Linked DNA regions of Sus scrofa. Each later gene encodes a partner of the first gene's protein in a complex. Links are inferred from orthologs where the notes say so. Each region holds a gene or a part of one and is shown in the gene's direction. Other genes may lie near its edges.

What was found.
Region 2: the proteins of KCNIP1 (region 1) and KCND2 are in contact, whole or in part, in a cryo-EM structure (PDB 7E8E), measured with the Homo sapiens proteins. The link is inferred for Sus scrofa from reciprocal best matches to the Homo sapiens genes KCNIP1 and KCND2. Residues at the interface, in NP_001030009.1 of Homo sapiens: Thr60, Arg62, Glu63, Val66, Leu67, Arg69, Gly70, Phe71, Asn73, Glu74, Phe85, Ile88, Tyr89, Gln91, Phe92, Tyr101, Leu105, Phe109, Phe122, Leu126, Leu129, Leu130, Lys137, Thr141, Leu144, Tyr145, Val162, Ile165, His185, Phe189; in NP_036413.1 of Homo sapiens: Ala2, Val5, Ala7, Trp8, Pro10, Phe11, Ala12, Arg13, Ala14, Ala15, Ala16, Ile17, Gly18, Trp19, Met20, Pro21, Val22, Ala23, Ser24, Gly25, Met27, Ala29, Pro30, Gln33, Arg35, Lys36, Arg37, Thr38, Gln39, Asp40.
Region 3: the proteins of KCNIP1 (region 1) and KCND3 are in contact, whole or in part, in a crystal structure (PDB 2NZ0), measured with the Homo sapiens proteins. The link is inferred for Sus scrofa from reciprocal best matches to the Homo sapiens genes KCNIP1 and KCND3. Residues at the interface, in NP_001030009.1 of Homo sapiens: Leu67, Arg69, Gly70, Phe71, Glu74, Val80, Phe85, Ile88, Tyr89, Phe92, Phe93, Tyr101, Leu105, Phe109, Phe122, Ala125, Leu126, Leu129, Leu130, Leu138, Trp140, Thr141, Leu144, Tyr145, Ile161, Val162, Ile165, Tyr166, Met168, Met169; in NP_001365898.1 of Homo sapiens: Ala6, Ala7, Trp8, Leu9, Pro10, Phe11, Ala12, Arg13, Ala14, Ala15, Ala16, Ile17, Gly18, Trp19, Pro21, Val22, Pro26, Met27, Pro28, Leu29, Ala30, Pro31, Lys34, Lys36, Arg37, Asp39, Trp54.

The regions. Positions count from the first base shown.
Region 1 is NC_010458.4:53,275,978-53,282,086, reverse strand, and holds part of KCNIP1 (Kv channel-interacting protein 1), read left to right. Parts: intron 1-2,107; exon of another isoform or gene 2,108-2,206; intron 2,207-2,326; exon of another isoform or gene 2,327-2,866; intron 2,867-2,872; coding exon 2,873-2,977; intron 2,978-4,018; coding exon 4,019-4,081; intron 4,082-6,109. UniProt on the Homo sapiens protein: Regulatory subunit of Kv4/D (Shal)-type voltage-gated rapidly inactivating A-type potassium channels. Regulates channel density, inactivation kinetics and rate of recovery from inactivation in a calcium-dependent and isoform-specific manner.
Region 2 is NC_010460.4:26,620,134-26,626,669, reverse strand, and holds the start of KCND2 (potassium voltage-gated channel subfamily D member 2), read left to right. Parts: upstream 1-2,459; 5' UTR 2,460-3,635; coding exon 3,636-4,750; intron 4,751-6,536. UniProt on the Homo sapiens protein: Voltage-gated potassium channel that mediates transmembrane potassium transport in excitable membranes, primarily in the brain. Mediates the major part of the dendritic A-type current I(SA) in brain neurons.
Region 3 is NC_010446.5:108,606,138-108,612,246, forward strand, and holds part of KCND3 (potassium voltage-gated channel subfamily D member 3), read left to right. Parts: intron 1-4,710; coding exon 4,711-4,812; intron 4,813-5,111; coding exon 5,112-5,201; intron 5,202-6,109. UniProt on the Homo sapiens protein: Pore-forming (alpha) subunit of voltage-gated A-type potassium channels that mediates transmembrane potassium transport in excitable membranes, in brain and heart. In cardiomyocytes, may generate the transient outward potassium current I(To).

The DNA.
Region 1 (6,109 bases):
CAGTACATATTCAAGGGTTTATTATTAGGTGTTCTAGGTGCTGAAGACAAAGTGCTGGACAATCCTAAAAATGTGGAAACCCTAATATTCACTACTAGCAGATGTGGTCAATGAAGTCCACTAAGTACATGTAATGGAGTAACAGTGACCATTTAAGAGCATGCAAGAGCAGTAAGCTATAAAAATTAGTATGATGCATTTTTAAAATTACTTTCTACAGTAGTATGTAGAAGATTATTTCAATTTTGTAAATAATTAAATGCTTCTGTACATACTCAAATATACGATACTCTAAAGTATTCAAATACTACTTTACAAAAAGGACCCTAAAATGAGAATTATAGTAAAACTTTCAACCTTGGTGCAACCATTATTTCATCAATGAATAATCTTACTAACTGCTGCTCCCTTTTTAAACTTGCAAATTAGACCAAACTGTCCCCATTAATGCCCTTCAGACCTTTCTGGATGGCTGGAGTACTTCTTAAAAGGAAAAGAAAGTGTGGATAAGCAACTTCCTAGAAAGGATAGCTGGATCTCCCCATGGCAGTCATCTGGAAAGAGTTTCATCAAAATTATAGGCAATGAAAACCCTGAGAAAGCAATCAAAATTTATCTTTAAGTCCTTTATCTTATAAAAGTTACTCAGGAAAGAAACCTACAACCATGTGGATGTTGAGGACTTGTAAAGTACATATTTTAAAATAAACATATGGATAGAGATATATATGTCCTAGTTTTGTCCACTGAGAGGACCTGAGAACAATAACACCCCGTACCAATGAGCTGGCCTAGAGCCCAGACCTTGATGTCTAAATATCATTCTCCAGTAAGAGGAACCAGTCTCCTTGAATTTGGTTCATTCCAGGCATGGGGAAGAGAAAATACAAGATGAGCCTGGAGCATCATGCAGTGTTGAAAAGAATGGTATTTATTTATCTTTTTAAAAAAGAGGGGGGGCATGTCAAAAGACCACAGAAGTCAGCCTGAAGGAGTCCCCAGTGGCCAAAGCTGGAACACTTTGAACAAAATACAAAATGCGAATTTATAGTTCTAGATGATAAGCTATAAAATAAATATCCATGAGTCCATAATAAATAATATATACTCAAATGATATACTATATATTCAAATAAATGATAAATACGTATTCAGGTTAATGAATACATAAATAAATGGGAGAAGGGAGTGAAAGCTCTTCCTTAAAGAAGAATTCCAGTTAGTAAACATAGAAGGAATAAAGGTCATACAAAATCCCCATTAAGCAAACATTACAGTAATGATTTTTACAGGCAGTGGCTGCGGACAGAGTCTAAGATCAGTGGAGAAATGTGACAGTCACCACCTTAATCACGTGAGGAAGGTTAACATCACCAGTAATAACTCACAGCAGCCCGCTGTGCCTGTCTGATATGATGCACCAGGAAGGCTATAATGTCACTTCTGTGGTCTTCCTATCAAAAATGCATAACTCCAATCTAATCATATGTAAACCGGGAACTAACCCAAACTGAGAGACATTCTACAAAGTAACTGGCCAGTAGTCATATCAAAAGAGTCATGGTCTTCAAAGACAAAGGCAGAATGAGACACCACGACAGATTAGAGGAGAGTAAGGAGACACAGCAGCGTGAAGTGGGATCCTGGAACATAAACAAGGCATTGGTGGAGGGTGTGGGGGGGGAACCTGACGGAACTGGAGTAAGTTCTGTAGCTTAATAGTTTTGTGGCATTGTCAATAGTGCTGTGGTTCACAGCAGTGGTGCATTGTTAATTTCCTAGCCTTCATCATTGTGCTGTGGTTATGCAAGTTGTTAGTATTTAGGGGAAGCTGGGTCAAAGGTATCCATGAGTACTCGGTACTGTTTTTCAAGTTTTGTGCAAGTCTAAAATTAGTAATAATAGGTTAAAAAAAACAAAAATAGCTAAATAAGGACATGAAATGAGGAGTAGCGGGCAAGGAACCCAAGATAGAAGCTGTCCCATGGGTCCCCGTAGACATGCCCGTCTTTCTGTATTCTTTTCCCCCATTCCAAGGAGGGGCCAGGGAAAGCACAAGGAACCCTATCTCTGGCCAGTGTGATTAGATCACCACAGGGCTACTCACCTGGGCTCCCGTTCATGGCAGACAAGGTGCCAGGTGCAGAGAACTTGGCGAGGAAGAATCAAGCATGTGTCCTCAGAGCTCACAGTCTTGGGGAAACATCTATAGAGCAATAAGAAGAACAACTGAATTCTTTTAATAAGCATGTGCCAACCACTTATTCCATATTCAGAAGCATTGGAAGATTAGAAAGAAAAATGCAATAGGATTTGTAACATCTACCTGGTCCCATCCACCAAGAATGGTAATTATGTCTTTGTAGAAAGCAGCTTTGGGTTATAAAGATAGGAAATTATCAGCATAAACTAGCTTCAGTTGAGAGATTTCTTATAAAGATACAGGTAGTTTCTCTAAAAAGTAAAGTCTTAAAAAATAAATAGTTTTTAAAGTGAAATAAAAAGATACAGAGAGTTTGAGGGAACATATTTAATCCTCATTAAAACTAGCAAGTTGTTAAGTTTCCTCCTCCCCTCTACACCCGCCTGCTCTTCTTATTCTTCTCTTTCCTCTCCCTCCTGCAGCACTGTCTTAGAGATGGCCACACTCTCCTTTGCAGGAATGACAAAGAGAATTTTCCACTGCCTTCTCTATGGGAGGAAGCTCCCAGAACGCGTAGCCCCTTCTGCTTGCTTTCTAACTCCCTCCCACCAGCTAAAGAAGTTCCTTTTAATCAGTTTCATTTCCAAGAGGGTCAAGAGCCCTAAACTCTCACCTAGAAGAGCCTGACTTCCTGGTTCCCACACCGTGTGCCTCCTTGTCCCCCTCCAGGAAATGATGGACATTGTCAAAGCCATCTATGACATGATGGGGAAATACACATATCCTGTGCTTAAAGAAGACACTCCAAGGCAGCACGTGGACGTCTTCTTCCAGGTAAGAGCACACCCCTTGTGCGTGAGCTTTAAGCTCGATTTAGATCAGTCAGCCCACAAGCATCAAACCGTCAGTCACACCACCATGAGCTGTGGTTCATGTCCAAGCCTGTACTACACGAAGTAGGAAACAGAAGAGAACTACAAGATGTATTATTCTCCAGGAATAGATTATCTCATTGAACAGGCAAGTAGGCAGTACAGAAGAGAGCAAGGGAGATTGTTAAGTATAAATAGTAGAGTATGGACTCTAAAGTTCCATAAAAATCATTGGGAGAGCAGAGTAAACAGAGAAGGTGTATGTCACCAAGCACATTTGTGTAGGTGTGAAGCATTTGTGTCTGGGGAGTCAAAGGAAGTCAGGTAGAAACTAGGGTGGGTTGGATTATGAGATCTTTTAATTGACTGAGTTTAGCCTTGCTCTGGTAAAAGTAGGTGGGGCTGTTAATCCATGAATAGAAGAGATTTTTTATGCTAGAAAAAAAATTACCCTAGCAGGAGACCATCAGAGAATGTTAAAGCTCATTCTGGTCTAATCCTCTCACTTTGCAGATAGGAAAAGCAGAGGCTCACTCACTAAGATCTCACAGTAAGTGACAGAGACAAAAGTAGAACCTCTCATGTCCAGTGTTCCTTCTGCCAAGTGGACAATCTAGAAGTGAGACTAGGAAAGACATTTTAGGGTATTGGCAAAATAATCAGATGATGAGAAGATGAACATCAGAGCAAGTTGTGGGGATTTTTTGGCAGGGGGGTGGGGAGCCCATGGCATGCAGAAATTCCTGAGCGGTGGATCAAACCCACACCACAGGAGTGACAATGACAGATCCTTAACCTGCTGAGCCACTGGGGAACTCCTAGAGCAAGTTTTTTAATTTGATGGAAGCTCATAGGGGTCAAAGTGCTATAACAAGGGCCTAGGTGGAGCTGTCTGGCCTGTGAAAGAACATCCTAATTCTTGGGGGAACACTGGTTATCAAAAAGCAAATTTTGGAATGCAGATTACCAGATTCTTTAAAATGCTTCTTGTTGTGTCTTTCAGAAAATGGACAAAAATAAAGACGGCATTGTGACTTTAGATGAATTTCTTGAATCCTGTCAGGAGGTAAGGAGAGAGTTCAGGGCACAAAACCTCTAAATCTGAGAAAGAAAATCTGTGCTAGGGACCTGCAGGAGGAGAAAATGAGAAACCTGTAATCCCCTAGGTTAGTATTAGCGGAAATACTAACTGGCTGCCACTACCAGTACCAACACCAGTAACAGCACAAAATTCCACCCATCTCCACTGCTCAGGCTGGCCTGTGGCAGGTCTCAGCACAGGCTGAGCCACACAAAGACAGGGTTACACGGCGGGGGTGTGAAAGCCCAGAGGGGGTCGCTGTGAAACTACAGACCTCCAAGTGGGCAACACTGTCATTTTACAATCTGCTTCGGGCTTGATGATCCAATTCCCAGACTACATGGGAGTAACTGGGGGAAAAAAAAAAAACTAAGCTCTGATTCTTAAACCATAATGTGCATAAGAATTGCCTCAGATGACTGGAAATGCACATTTCCAGGCCTCCATTCCAGAGACTCTCAGTCTGGGGTTGGAATCTAGAAATCTTTGTTTTGTTTTATTTTATTTTTAGGGCCACACCTGCGGCATATGAAAATTTCCAGGCTAGGGGTACAATCTGAGCTGAGCTACTGGCCTACAGCACAGCCACAGCAACACCAGATCCAAGGGGCATCTGTGACCTACACCACAGCTCACAGCAATGCCAGATCTTTAACCCACTGAGCTGAGTGAGGCCAGGGATTGAATCTGTATCCTCATGGATACTAGTCGGGTTCATAACCTGCTGAGCCACAATGGGAACCCCCCTAGAAATCTTCATTTTAACACAAGTGCCCTGACCAATGCTTCTGAAACTTTAATGTACAAACCAACCTCCTTAAAGCTCTTGTTAAAATGCAGACTCTAATTCAGTAGGTCCAGAGTGATGCTGATGCTGCTAAAGAATAAACTGGCCCCAGAGTCAGCCAGAGACTGAAATGGAAATAATTGCTTTCCTCTAATTTAAAAAATAAAATGCATTTATACCAATACCTTGTTTCTGAAAGGTACACTGTTACTCTATGCTCCACCCGATAAGAACTGCAAATGCAGGAAAGCAAGGAGGAAGTTATTAACATGCAGTGAGCATCTACCAAGTTTTAGGTACATTATGTAAACTTCACAACAACCCTGAGAGGCAGAGGCAATATGTAATCAAAATATTTAATAACTAGAATAGACTGAGAATTGATCATTCTTAACTGAGTTTGCCCAATGCCCCAAAGCAGTACCCTAGAGAACCTCTGCTAAACTTGGCATTAACCTGGGAGTCGACGGATCTTTGGGTAGTCCTGGATGAGTTACTAGGTAGCCAGAGGCAAAGATGCTGGAGGAGTGGCTCAGGTAAGCAGCTATTTACTATTAGGGTTAGAAACATTTCTACTGTTTAATCATTATGAACTGGCTGCCCATCAGTATTCATTGCACCCATTTTAAAGAAGAGAAAACTGAGGTGATGCAAGGTTAAGAGATGTAGCTAAGGCACACTAAGTGATAGAGTTGAAACTTGAACTTCATTGTTCTAATTTTAAATACCATGCCTTATTGTATTATGCTTTTTTGTTTTTGTTTTTGTTTTTTTTTTTTTGGAGTGTGTGTCTTTTGTCTTTTTAGGGCCTCACCCGAGGGAGATTCCCAGGCTAGGGGTTGAATCCAAGCTAGCCGAGGGCCTACGCCTCAGACATGGCAATGAGAGATCTGAGCCATGTCTGTGACCTACACCACAGCTCACGGCAACACTGGATCCTTAACCCACTGAGCGAGGCCAGGGATGGAACCTGCATCCTCATGAATACTAGTCAGGTTCATTAACCACTGAACCACAAATGGGAACTCCAGCTTTTTTGACTTTGATTAACAGTTTTTAATCAATTTACTTTCTCACATTAGCAACTTCTAGAGCTATTCATTAATTAACTTATTTCTTTTTCACAACCCACCCTATAAATAAATAAATTACAATCTAGGCAGGCTGATTTTCAAACCCATATACTTTAATTGTGAGATAGTTATACCTCCCTGTTCTAGAAACTT
Region 2 (6,536 bases), on another chromosome or scaffold:
ATTCAGAAGTATTATTCTGCTTAATCCTGACAGTAGGCCCAAAATGTTGTCTTATCGTTTATAATTTTGAAACAGAGAAGTTAAGTAATTTGCCAAATAAAACAAAACCAAAGAGTAAATTATTGGGCTAGGATTTGAATCTAACCTCTAAGCCCACATCTTTCTACTGTTTCAAGAAGCTAGTGGAGAGTTGGGGAGAACAGACCATAAAACCTTTTAAAAAAAACTGCGGGCTCTATATTCTTGCTTTCTTAGGGGTTTTGTAGGGTTAAACATTTTATTTATAAGTGTTCAGTTTCCTACAGAGACGTTTTAAAGGTTCTATTTAGGTCACTTGCCTCATGTCTACAGGATGGCATGCCACTTCGGCATCAGTTGATTTTTCATGGCTTTCCATTCCCCCAATATATCTGTCATGTCTGGGTTAGGAAGGAGTTAATTTTCTTATATTAATAGGTAAGTTATTCCCTTTTTTTATTTTCCAATTAACATGTTGTTGCTGTTGTTTTCAGGTATTCAGGCCATATAGATTCGTTAACAAGCATCTTTCAGCTCAACTAACACAAACAGATAAACAGTGGGTGTCTTCAGTTCTCTGTTCTCAAACTTACGTGGAGCTTTAGTTCTGACTCCATTAACTACTAACTTGGGATTCCCTAAGCCTCTTCATCAGTAAACAAGTAAACAAACAAAAAATATCTTTCCATCTCCGCAGAAAATCTTCTGCATTATAAGGTTTGTTTTTCTCCTTCTCTGGTGATTTTCTATATATGCCGTTTTTTAGTTCGCATCTTTTCTTTGAGGTATTCTATTTCAAATTTTTAAGGTGGACACATTATGCCTAAGATATTTAGGGCCTGAAAGTCAATTCAATTTACGACTATACACAGCCACTCTACAAACCAAGAAGAGTAAAACCAAGCCTTGAAAAGGTAATTTTCAGATAGAAATTAGGCTTCTCTCCTTCATCAACATATATGAAGCGCTACTGTTTTCAAACACTTATTTATATTATTACTATTATTATTACCGTCATCATTACCAGTACTGCTACTACCACCACTCAGTGATCTAGATTTAATTTTAAAAGGCATTTCAACAGAAACTCTCCACGTCTCATTTCATATCCATCAAAATGCAGGCTTAGGCCTGACTAATATACCTCCTATAAATACTAAAAGGAGTGGGGAGTGGATTTGAGGATATTTATGTGATCTGATGCTCTGGTGGGTCAGTTTTGATCCTTCACCTTTCCAAAGCGTCCAAACCTGAGATGTCGATTTAACTTTTCGCCGTTTTCGCCATCTAGTGGTTATAAATGTTACACGTTTGGTTTTAAGGAAGATTCCTAATGATTGGGGGGCGGGGTACACGAAAAACAAAACGGTTGGCCGGATACACGAAAAACAAAACGGTTGGCCGCGACAATTTCCTAGTCACTCGCATCACTTACCCCTCACAGGGACACCTTTAACTACTTTAACCATTGTAGATGTGCGCAGACATATGCAGGGAGAATGAAGGGGACACACACTTACGGAGACACACGGCCCTTGACGCTGACATTTAGAAAAGGGTTCTAAATCCTTCCTGTCATTTGCAAAGGACGGGAAAAGGAGTTGTGGAAAAACCTAGACCAAGGAGACTGTCTGACTTTTCCGCAAGTTGGACCGAGGACATATTAACTTCTGCAACGTTAACATCTGGTCTGAACAAATAAAAAGAAAGAGGAAAAAGCACTTAAAAATTCCGCCGTGGGGCTTTGCAGGTCTTGCTACCCGGTAGACCCCAGAAGACAACCAATTCCTGCGCGTTCCGCTCCGCTCACCCTCCTTCCCAGCCTCTCTCGCTTTTTTTTTTTTTTTTTTTTTTTTCCCTTCCTATTTTTTTTTTTTTTTTTTTTTTTTTTCCCACGCTCGCCTTGAACCGGGACCCAGGGAGGCAGAAGCAAGGCACCGGTCCCCTTCCTCCTCTCCTCCACCAAACCACCGCAGCCGAGCGCGTCAAGCTTCCCTTTGTTCAACGAAGCTCCTTCTCCTCCCGGCAGATCCACCTGGATGCTCTCCCTCGGTGACATTTTGCGCCGGGGCTGGTGGGTGGCTGGGGTGGAGCGAGAGGAGCCCGAGGGGGCGGGGGCGGAGAAAGGTCAAGCTGAGGGAAAGGCAGGAGACGCCTTTCATAACCCGCGTGGCGGGGCGTGCGCGCGGTTATTTATTTATTTTCTCCTTATTTGTTGATCGCACGAGCAGAGCGGTGCGGGGAGCCCGGGGAGATGCAGGACCACCCACTGGCGGGGAAGCAGCTAGCAGCCCTCCCGCGCCCCCGCGCTGCCGAGCGCCTCTTGCCTCCGCGCTCGGGTGACTGCCCGCGCCCGCCCCGGCTCCGGCCCCGCCGCGCCGCCGCCCGCCCGGCCGCCCCGCAGCCCCGCAGCCCCGCAACCCCGCACCGCGCCGCTCGGGCCCGGGCGACAGCCGCGGCGCAGTAAGTTGGCAGGAGCTAGTCCCCTCCGTTCTCGCCTCCCCCGCACCTTTTGAACTTGTTGCTGCTGCTCTGCTAGCCTGCGCCTGGCTTTTGGAAGGTGAAAAGGAGGAGGGAGGCACGGAAGGATGGGGGAAGGGGAAGAAGAGCTCGCTTGAGCTTTATTTATGCTCCCCCGGCGCATCGGATTCGGCTGCTCGCGAGCTGCTTTCTGGGCTTTTCCCTTTCCGGGTGCACGGCGAGGAGAAAGTCTCTATGCAACTCAGCCCCGGCGCGCACTTTGCCAGGTATGTACCGCGGGCGAGGCGCGTTCTACGCGGAAGCAGAGGCTGCTGCCGCCGTTGCCGCGGCGGCTGCCAGCTCCCGGGCTCTGTAACTGCCGCACTATACCTGAGCTGAACTTGAAAAGAGAGTCAAGGGGAGGTTGGGCGAACGTTTTTGGCTGACACAGGGGGTGCTTGTAGATGGAGGGAAGGAGGATTTATTAACGCCCCCCAGCCGTGCCCACAGCACAGCATCAGCACCTCTGCAAATACGGCCCGAGGAGTAGAGACGGCGACCGGCTCCCAAAGAGACATGGGGCAGCGGCTGTGACCGCATCTCGGAAGCTACAACAACAGGTCGCCTCTTTGAGACTCCTTTGGCGGGAAGGGCCACTTGGAAAGGGAAGGTTTGAAACAGCTAAAAGGGAAGGTGGAAGGGCTCTCTAATTCGTCAAAAGAATACCACTGACTGTCCTTCGTCTCTTCTCTGTTACACGACACATACTGACCCCACATTATCCAGACTGTCAGGGGAGAAATCAAAGACACCTGTTTGAAGAAATTGCGGTATCTAAAGTCATCTTATTTGTACTTATTTGTGCCAGGGGTGGCCTGGTCCAACTGCTGGAAAAGCTTTGATAAGGTTCCGTCGGGGTGATTCTGAGGACATTGTATTTTTTCCCCTGTTACTCCAAATACCTGTCTTTGAGGGAAGCTTGCCCTTCTGCAAACTGTGACTTCACCAGGGAGCCCTATCTTGGAATAGGGGTGATCTCTCTGGACCACATTTCTCACTAGTAATTTGTTTGAGGGGAGGAAGTGGGTGATTGTGGCTACTTTGAGTGACCCACTGTAGAGGCTTGCGTGCCCTTCTGGCCTCCACTTGAAGGAACCATGGCGGCGGGGGTAGCAGCGTGGCTGCCCTTTGCAAGGGCAGCGGCCATTGGGTGGATGCCTGTGGCCTCGGGGCCCATGCCAGCTCCCCCAAGGCAGGAGAGGAAAAGGACTCAGGATGCCCTAATTGTGCTGAATGTGAGTGGCACCCGTTTCCAGACATGGCAGGACACTCTGGAACGTTACCCAGACACTCTGCTGGGCAGTTCTGAGAGGGACTTTTTCTACCATCCAGAGACTCAGCAGTATTTTTTTGACCGTGACCCAGACATCTTCCGCCACATCCTGAATTTCTACCGCACTGGGAAGCTCCACTATCCTCGCCATGAATGCATCTCAGCTTATGATGAAGAATTGGCCTTCTTTGGCCTCATCCCAGAAATTATTGGCGACTGCTGTTATGAGGAGTACAAGGATCGGAGGCGAGAGAACGCGGAGCGTCTTCAAGATGATGCTGACACCGACAACACCGGAGAGAGCACGCTGCCCACTATGACGGCTCGGCAGAGGGTCTGGCGGGCGTTTGAGAACCCCCACACCAGCACGATGGCCCTGGTGTTCTACTATGTCACAGGGTTCTTCATTGCTGTGTCCGTCATCGCTAATGTGGTAGAAACAGTGCCGTGTGGGTCTAGTCCCGGTCACATTAAAGAACTGCCCTGTGGGGAACGGTATGCGGTGGCCTTCTTCTGCCTGGATACAGCCTGCGTCATGATCTTCACGGTTGAGTACTTGCTTCGCCTGGCGGCAGCACCCAGTCGCTACCGTTTTGTGCGTAGCGTCATGAGTATCATCGACGTGGTGGCCATCCTGCCTTATTACATCGGGCTGGTGATGACGGACAATGAGGATGTCAGTGGCGCCTTTGTCACACTCCGAGTCTTCCGGGTCTTCCGGATCTTTAAGTTTTCCCGCCACTCTCAAGGCCTGCGCATCCTGGGGTACACGCTGAAGAGCTGTGCCTCGGAATTGGGCTTCTTGCTCTTCTCTCTCACCATGGCTATCATCATCTTCGCTACAGTTATGTTCTACGCAGAGAAGGGGTCTTCGGCCAGCAAGTTCACCAGCATCCCTGCTGCCTTCTGGTACACCATCGTCACCATGACAACACTAGGGTAGGTGCCACCAAGGGAAACGGGGTGGAGGTTGATTACGTATGAAGTGGTTGTGGACCCATTAAGGTTATGTAATTATTCAGAGGAAATAATTCTTCTCTTTCTTAAGTGGGTTTAAGAAGGTATTATCGAGATGGTTTTGAAGAACTCTTTTGATGGGCGAAATGAGTATGATATAGTGATTGAGGTATTTAGGAAGTTGCTGGCAAATGTTGAGTACTGATGCTTGAAAGTGATAAATACGCAAAGAAATTTTAGAATTCCTGAATATAGGGAATGATCCTCGATATTAGATGTACAAATACATAAAGATATAATGAATGAAAAACACAAAATTTCTGTCCAGGTAAAGGTATGAAAATACACACTACATATTGAAATGCCTAGAAAGTGCTTTAGTGTATTGCAATGAAAAGTTTACATGTATATTTGAAGTATTATTTTCATATGAATACTTTTGGCAGTCCTTTTCCATCTGAGAACCATAATTCTCATTTTACAGCATTTTAAAACGTAGATTATAGATATTACCAAAGGATTTTGTAATATATATGCACATATTCATATACATATGCATTTTAATTATGGCTGATAATTATGCAGTGTTTTAGAATATCAGGGCTGAAATTGATCAACTCTACAAAATGCAGTGGAATGATATTTGCAACATATTTAAGATTCTAGGTTCATAGTTTCAAATAAGGAAGCACATGACTGCTATCCATACACTGCTTTTTTTTTTTTTTTTTTTTTTTAAAGAAACTACAGATCCCATCAGGCAATGGACTCATGCCCACTAAATACACATAGAAGGCATAGCAGCATCTCTTGATGTTCACTAAGTGCTGTTTGCATTATAGAATTTGGGAGCCTATTTCCTTCTAGAATTCTTTTCTTCATTATTTTATTCGGTGGGAATGGTGTTCTGCAACCAAGGGACACATTCTGTATTAATGTGGTTTTTTCAAAATAAAATTTAAGCTAGAATGAAGATTTCTAGATGATTGAAGAAAGATGAAATTATTAATAATGTTAATCAAAAGTGCAGCAAAGTAGCAGCATTTATATATTAGAGAATCTAATAAAATAAAATGGTAAGAGCCTTTTACTGTTAGGAGTTCTTGGATAAGCCAGGTAGTGATGTTAGGGTCCTTTTCAGCTTTGTGCTGCTTTTCTTGCATAGTTAATCAGTTCAATGAGGATTTGGTAATGGCTGTAAGAAAAAAAGTTATACCCAAGGCTGCTTCTTAAATTTTGTGTTTCTGGCTAATTTAATTGCCTTCTTTAAATGACAGTATGGTTAAAGTCAACTTAATTTTATTAGACATATTGTGTTGAACAGAATTTCTCATGTTGTCATATGGCCAATAATGGAATATTTTATATGTGAAGAAGTTTTGGCTAAGTTAATTAAGAAATTATGGTAAAGTAATACATAATGACTTATGAGTTTGATCTCATCTCATGTATTTTTGAAGACCTACTGGTGGCTTTTCAAAAATTAATTAGTGAAAATTCTATGTCCTGCTGCTTATATTTCCCTTTTATCTTGTTGGTAATTTTGTGACACATTTTGAAGAATATGCAAAATACCTTAGCAATGTAGGTACTTGGATCTAACCAAGAGGTTTGTGTGTATATATTTGGTCTTTGTTGTCTTTATGTCATTTGAAATCTGTATTAAGGACAATTGGATAGTGCAAATCATTATCAAGACTTCAAATTAGAAGTACACATGAATTAAAAGAGAACCTGTGTTAAGAGGAAATAAAGGAAGAGAATTGAA
Region 3 (6,109 bases), on another chromosome or scaffold:
AGCATAGAGGTGAGCTCCAGCCCCGCGCCTCAGGGGGAAAGAAAGGCTCGAACATTGTCATCCTTGTCCCTTGCCACCGATTTGCTCGGGATTATCACTGAAGTGGCTTCACGACCATTTACTACAGAGACCAAGTTCTCTGAGCCGGTGAACTGGAGGTCAAGTTAGAAGGTCTGGCAGGGGACAGAGAGAGAGGAGCATCTGACTGGGGATTTTCTAATGGAACAAAATGTTTTTATTGTTTTGTTTTGTTTTAGGGCCACACCTGAAGCATATGGAAGTTTCCAGGCTAGGGATTCAATCAGAGCTACAGATGCTGGCCTAGGCCACAACCACAGCAACACAGGATCCAAGCCACGTCTGTGACCCACACCCCAGCTCACAGCAATGCTGGATCCTTAACCCACTGAGCAAGGCCAGGGATTGAACCCACATCCTCATGGATACTAATCGGATTCATTTCCACTGGGCCACAAATGGGAACTCCCTCTAAAGGAAAATTTTTATTGAAATAATTGTAGATCCATGTGTAGTTATAAAATGACCACATCCAGAGCATAGATGTTGCTGCAGTTCACCAATACTATTCAGACTTTTGCTTGTCGTGTGTGTGTGTGTGTGTGTGTGTGTGTGTGTGTGTGTGAAGCTTGATACAGCTCTGTCACCTGTGCAGGTTCATGCATCCGCCACCTCAGTCAAGGTACCACAACAGTCAGTTCCGGCACCTCAAGGATCCTTCTCATCTTTTATAACCAAACCCCCAGCACTCTGCCACCGCCCCATTCCTAACCCCTGGCAACCAGTTATCTGTCCTCCCTTTACAAAATGTTGTCTTTTTTCTTCTTTTGCTTTTTAGGGCTGAACCTGCAGAATATGGAAGTTCCCAGGCTAGGAGTCGAATTGGAGCCGCAGTTGCTAGCCTACACCACAGCCGCAGCAACGCAGGATCCGAGCCATGTCTTTGACCTATACCACATCGTAGGGCAACGCTGGATCCTTAACCCACTGAGTGAGGCCAGGGACCAAGCCCACATCCTCATGGATATTGGTCAGGTTCATTACCACTGAGCCACAATGGAACTCCAACATGTCTTCTTTTTTAGTTCTTTTTTTTTTGGGGGGGGAGAGCTGTACCCATGGCACTCAGTCATTCCTGGGCCAGGGATCAAACCCGCATCACAGCAGTGACAATGCCTGATCCTTAACCCACTGAGCCACCAAGGAACTCCCCTTTCATTCTTTAAATGGTATATCCATGGGCGTTTACAGTAGCTAAGCTTTAGGGACTGGCTTTTCCATTTTGTGTAATTCCTGGAGATTCATCGGAGGCTGTGCATCAACAGTCCACTCCCTGTCCTTGCTGAACAATATTCTGTGGTATGGACGCATCACAGTTAAGTTTAACTGTTCACCTGTTGAGGGACATCTGGTTATTATAAATAAAGCTGCTAACATTCGTGCACGGGCTTTTGTGTGAATGTAAGTTTTCATTTCTCTGAGACACATGCCTGAGTGCAGTTGTCCGTGTTCCCTTTCGGCTTTTCCATTTCTCCCACTTCCCTCTCTGGCAGAGATGGCAGGACTCACAGCCCAAGGGAACCTGCCAGCAGACAGCGAAGAGGTTCATCGGGAAAGTCTTCTCAGGCACAACAGAATCCTTGAGCTTAGGAGTTCCCGTTGTGGTTCAGTGGTTAACGAGTCTGACAAGGAACCATGAGGTCGCGGGTTCGATCCCTGGCCTTGCACAGTGGGTTAAGGATCCGGCGTGTCCGTGAGCTGTGTTGTAGGTTGCAGATGTGACTTGGATCCCCCGTCGCTGTGGCTGTGGTGTAGGTCAGCCGCTACAGTTCTGATTAAACCCCTAGCCTGGGAACCTCCATATGCCGAGTGAGCGGCCCTAGAAAAGGCAAAAAGACCAAAAAGTAAATAAATAAATAACATAGCCTGGAGAGTTCCTATTGTGGCTCAGCAGGTTAGGAACCTAGTTAGTATCCATGAGGATGCAGGTTTGATCCCTGGCCTCGCTCAGTGGGTTAAGGATCCAGCGTTGCCGTGAGTTTCGGTGTAGGTTCCAGACTTGGCTCGGATCCTGCATTGCTGCGACTGTGGCCTAGGCTGGTGGCCATAGCTCTGATTGGATCCCTAGCCTGGGAACTTCCATGTGCAGCGGGTGTGGCCCTAAAAAAGCAAAAAAAAAAAAGAAAAGAAGAAAGAAAAATTAATTTAAAAACTGAACTTCCCGTGTGGCTCACAACATAACCACTCAGTGTTGCTTCTACAGTGACTGTGGCTCGACCCCTGGCTCGGGAACTTCCATATGCTGCAGGTGCAGCCAATAAATAAATAAATAAATAAACAAATAAAAATACAAAAATTAACAAGTAAAATAGTCTAGATGATCTCCATGTTCCTATAACTCTCACACTGTGCTCCTGGCCACAGAAGAGAGGGAGGCTGATCCGTCCACACAAGGAGTGTGCTAACGTGGCTTTATTAGCACAGTGGCTTTATTAATGTGACTTTCTCACCAACTGTGTAGGACCGTCCTCCTTCCTGGGCCGTCACCAGCCTCACCTGAGCATGCTCTGTAGGAAGCTCTGTGCTGGGGGCTGAAGATAAAAATATGCATAAGTGACGGGCTCTGGCCCTCGGGAGCTCAAAGTCAAGCCAAAAGTCCTCACCAAATTACACATGCGGGGTATGGTTCTGTAAATACGTGGCAAACCTCTTTATCCTGTGTGGGGGGGAATGATTAAGCGATATAGGGCATTTGATATGACAGTCCATTGCTTTAATAGAGCCCAGGGTAAGATAAGATTAAAAGAGGTGCCACAAAGGCAAGCAGGAGAATCTTTCATCTCTAGAAAGTAATGAAGACAGACCCCAGATACAAGAAAGGTCTGCCTCTAAGTGGTGCGATCAAATTATATACGGCGATAATGAGCTTGACACAATTGGATTTCCATATGCAGCTCTCAACACCCAGGACTCAGCCAAAGCAATAACGGCTCCATCCTCAAATGCTGAAGCACTGGCTTGAATGTAGACACCCGGCTGAGGGGAAGGCTGGAGCCGGAGTCCCAGGGAGGAGAATTGTCTGGACCTTGAATGCACGCTCTTGGCTCCTCTTGGCTCGGAGGGAAGAGGAGCGACGGGGCTTACTCGCCCTCCTTTCCCTCCCGCTTCCTCTGCTCATTCTCCAGCCGGAGGTCGTGGGCTCCTCTTCCAGGCTCCAGCGCTGATCTTTTCCCCATATTTAGAAACCGGGGAAGGTCCTTGACTTGTCCCTCCAAGGACATGCTGACCGCAGGGGGACTTCTCCGGAAACAGTAAACAGAGTGTGTTCTCTGCGCTTCTGTTGACGGCCTGGATCCAAGTCCCTGGCCTCCTTTTAGCAGATGAGCCAGCCAGCAGGACCCTTGGAGGGGACGCTTCCCCAGGCTGGGGAGAAGGTGACAAGAAATGGAAATTGCCACCATTTTCCAAGGGCCCCTCTGTGAGAGTCCACACTGAGGTTAGATGCAGACTTTCCCAGAGGCAGGAGGAAGCACCTCTCTGCCTAGGAGCGGGTGTCGGGGCAGTCTGCGTCCACGTGGGCACCTCTGCTTCCAGGAGCAAGGGAAGCTGGCTCCAGATCAACAAGAGCCCAGATGTTAAGGCGCATTTTTTTTTTCAAACCAGCAGGAACCCCTCTATCTGTCCCTTCTCCCTTCCTCCCAAAGCCTCTTGCCTCTTGGGCCTCCCTCGGTGGTTGTGCTGCTGTCATGGTGACACTGATTGCAATTATTAGGAAGGAGAGGCGAAGCCGGCATGTGCACTGTGTCCCACTGCCTCTGGCAGCAGGAGCAATACCACGCAGCCCTCCCGCAGGACACCGCTGAAGGCTCCCAGGGATGGAGCTGGGGAGAAGTCCAGGTGTCCCAGCAGAGCCAGGACGGTGTATGGACGTGCCCCATCCTCCCCCGCCTCCCACACACACGCACTCCCACAGCCATCGCCCCAAGACAAACAGACATCGACACATCCGCGCCACTCCCAAAGACAGACATGCCATGCCGCTGTAAATTCCTTTATTGATTCACAAATTGTTAGGCATCTGTGAACAAAACAAAACTGCTTCCCTCCAGGAGTTTACATTCTGGGGGCGGAGAGAGACGGTAGCAAGAGAAACATAAAACCTACTTACGCTACCTTAGTAGTGGATGCTAAGGGAAGAGGGGGACGAGGGGAAGGGGCTGAGGGGCGCATATACACGCTCCTTGCTTTTCTCAAAATTAACTAGTTTTGGGCATCTGCTGTGTGCGGGGAGCTGGCACTGGACCCTCGGGGAGACAAGGAGAGCTCTGCCATGTGCTCCTTTAAGGCACGTGCACTGCTGAGCCGATGGGGTCGTGAGATCTGGGGACGGAGGGAGGACTTGGATGCGTGATGTCTCCCTGGCCGGGATCACACCCAGGCTGGAGAGATGAGTGCAAACCCGAGGCACTTTGCCCAGGACTACGCTCCATTCCCCGGGTTGAAGCCTCTCCATCCAGCCCCAGGTCTATAAACAGAGATCCCGTGGCTGAGGAAGCCGCTTCCTCCCCCTCATCCGACATCCCCTGGGAACCTGGCTTCTTCGGGACAGCCCCCTGTCGCTGGCTTTGCCAGGCTCACTGTCTTTTTGTCTCTTGGTCTCCCTCACTCTTTCGTGATCTCTGCCCATCACAGAAGGCCCGCCTCGCCAGGATCCGTGTGGCCAAAACAGGCAGCTCCAATGCCTACCTGCACAGCAAGCGGAACGGACTCCTCAACGAGGCCCTGGAGCTGATGGTGGGTGCCTGGAGGACCTGGGGGGGTGGACAGGCTTGCCTTCTCTTCCTGGGGCCACCAGCACCCCCACCCCAAAGCCCCAGACTTGCCCTGGGGCACCAGCTCCTCCACTTACCTCTCCCGGAGGAGACCAGCTACCCCGAGATCAGCTTTAGCTCAAGGGTCCCCGGCCCAAAGTTAGCGTGTTCGAGGGTGACCCTAAAATTTGGTTCATCTGGATTTTTCTGGTCCCTCCCACCTTTTGTGGAGAGAAGGGGCGCTGCCCGCTTTATAACCTGGGTCTCTTCTTTTCTGCCCAGGGCACCCCGGAAGAGGAGCACGTGGGCAAGGCCACCTCGCTCATCGAGAGCCAGCACCATCACCTGCTGCACTGCCTGGAAAAAACCACTGTGAGTCCCAGCCCAGTGCCGCCTCCTGTCTCCTCCCTGACCCTTGACCCTTGTCTGAGGTCAGAACTGACAGAGTGGGAACTCGGTACCCCATCCTCAGCCTGGGCCCAAGCTTCAGAAGTCAAAGTCCACCCCCCTCAGATCCAAAGAGCAGCGATGAGGTCCCTCTCAGCCCCCAGGAGGAAGAGCACAAGGAGGGGGACAAAGTCACCCTGGTGGGGAGGCCAGCCTGTCCTGCGGTGGCACAGAGGAGGCTGCTCCCCCAGGCTTTCCACTCTGGCTTCAGTCCCCAGAGCCCATTTCCTAGTTCCCGAGGCCTGACCTCTGCCTTTCAGTTTCTCGGTTCTGATGGGCGCTGCTCTACAAAACTAGGGCTGCACTTACACAGATTGCTATGGACGCAGAGAAGGCTGTCCATTTTTGTCCTACCCCCCGGTTAGGGGAATGCAATCTGTGGGTCCCTTTGCTCCCTCCATTCCTCTTGGAACCGGAGGCAGTGAATGAAGAGGGCAGCACATGTATTTCTCTAGCCAGGGATTTTTGTCAGCGCCAGCCCATCTTAGCCACCCTGCAGGTCCTGGGAATTCGATTCCGAAAGGCTTATTGTCAAAATAGAGTCATGGGGAGTTCCTGCTGCGGCTCAGTGGGTTAAGAATCGACTGCAGTTGGAGTTCCCGCTGTGGCTTCGTGGAAACGAACCCGACTAGTAGCCATGAGGATGCGGGTTCGATCCCTGGCCTCGCTCAGTGGGTTAAGGATCTGGCGTTGCCATGAACTGTGGTATAGGCCACAGATGCACCTCGGATCTGGCATTGCTGTGGCTGTGGCATAGGCCGGCAGCAATTCAAGTTGCTGCGGAGGCACAGGTCCGATCCCCAGCCCAGAACAGTGGGTTAAAGGATCCAGTG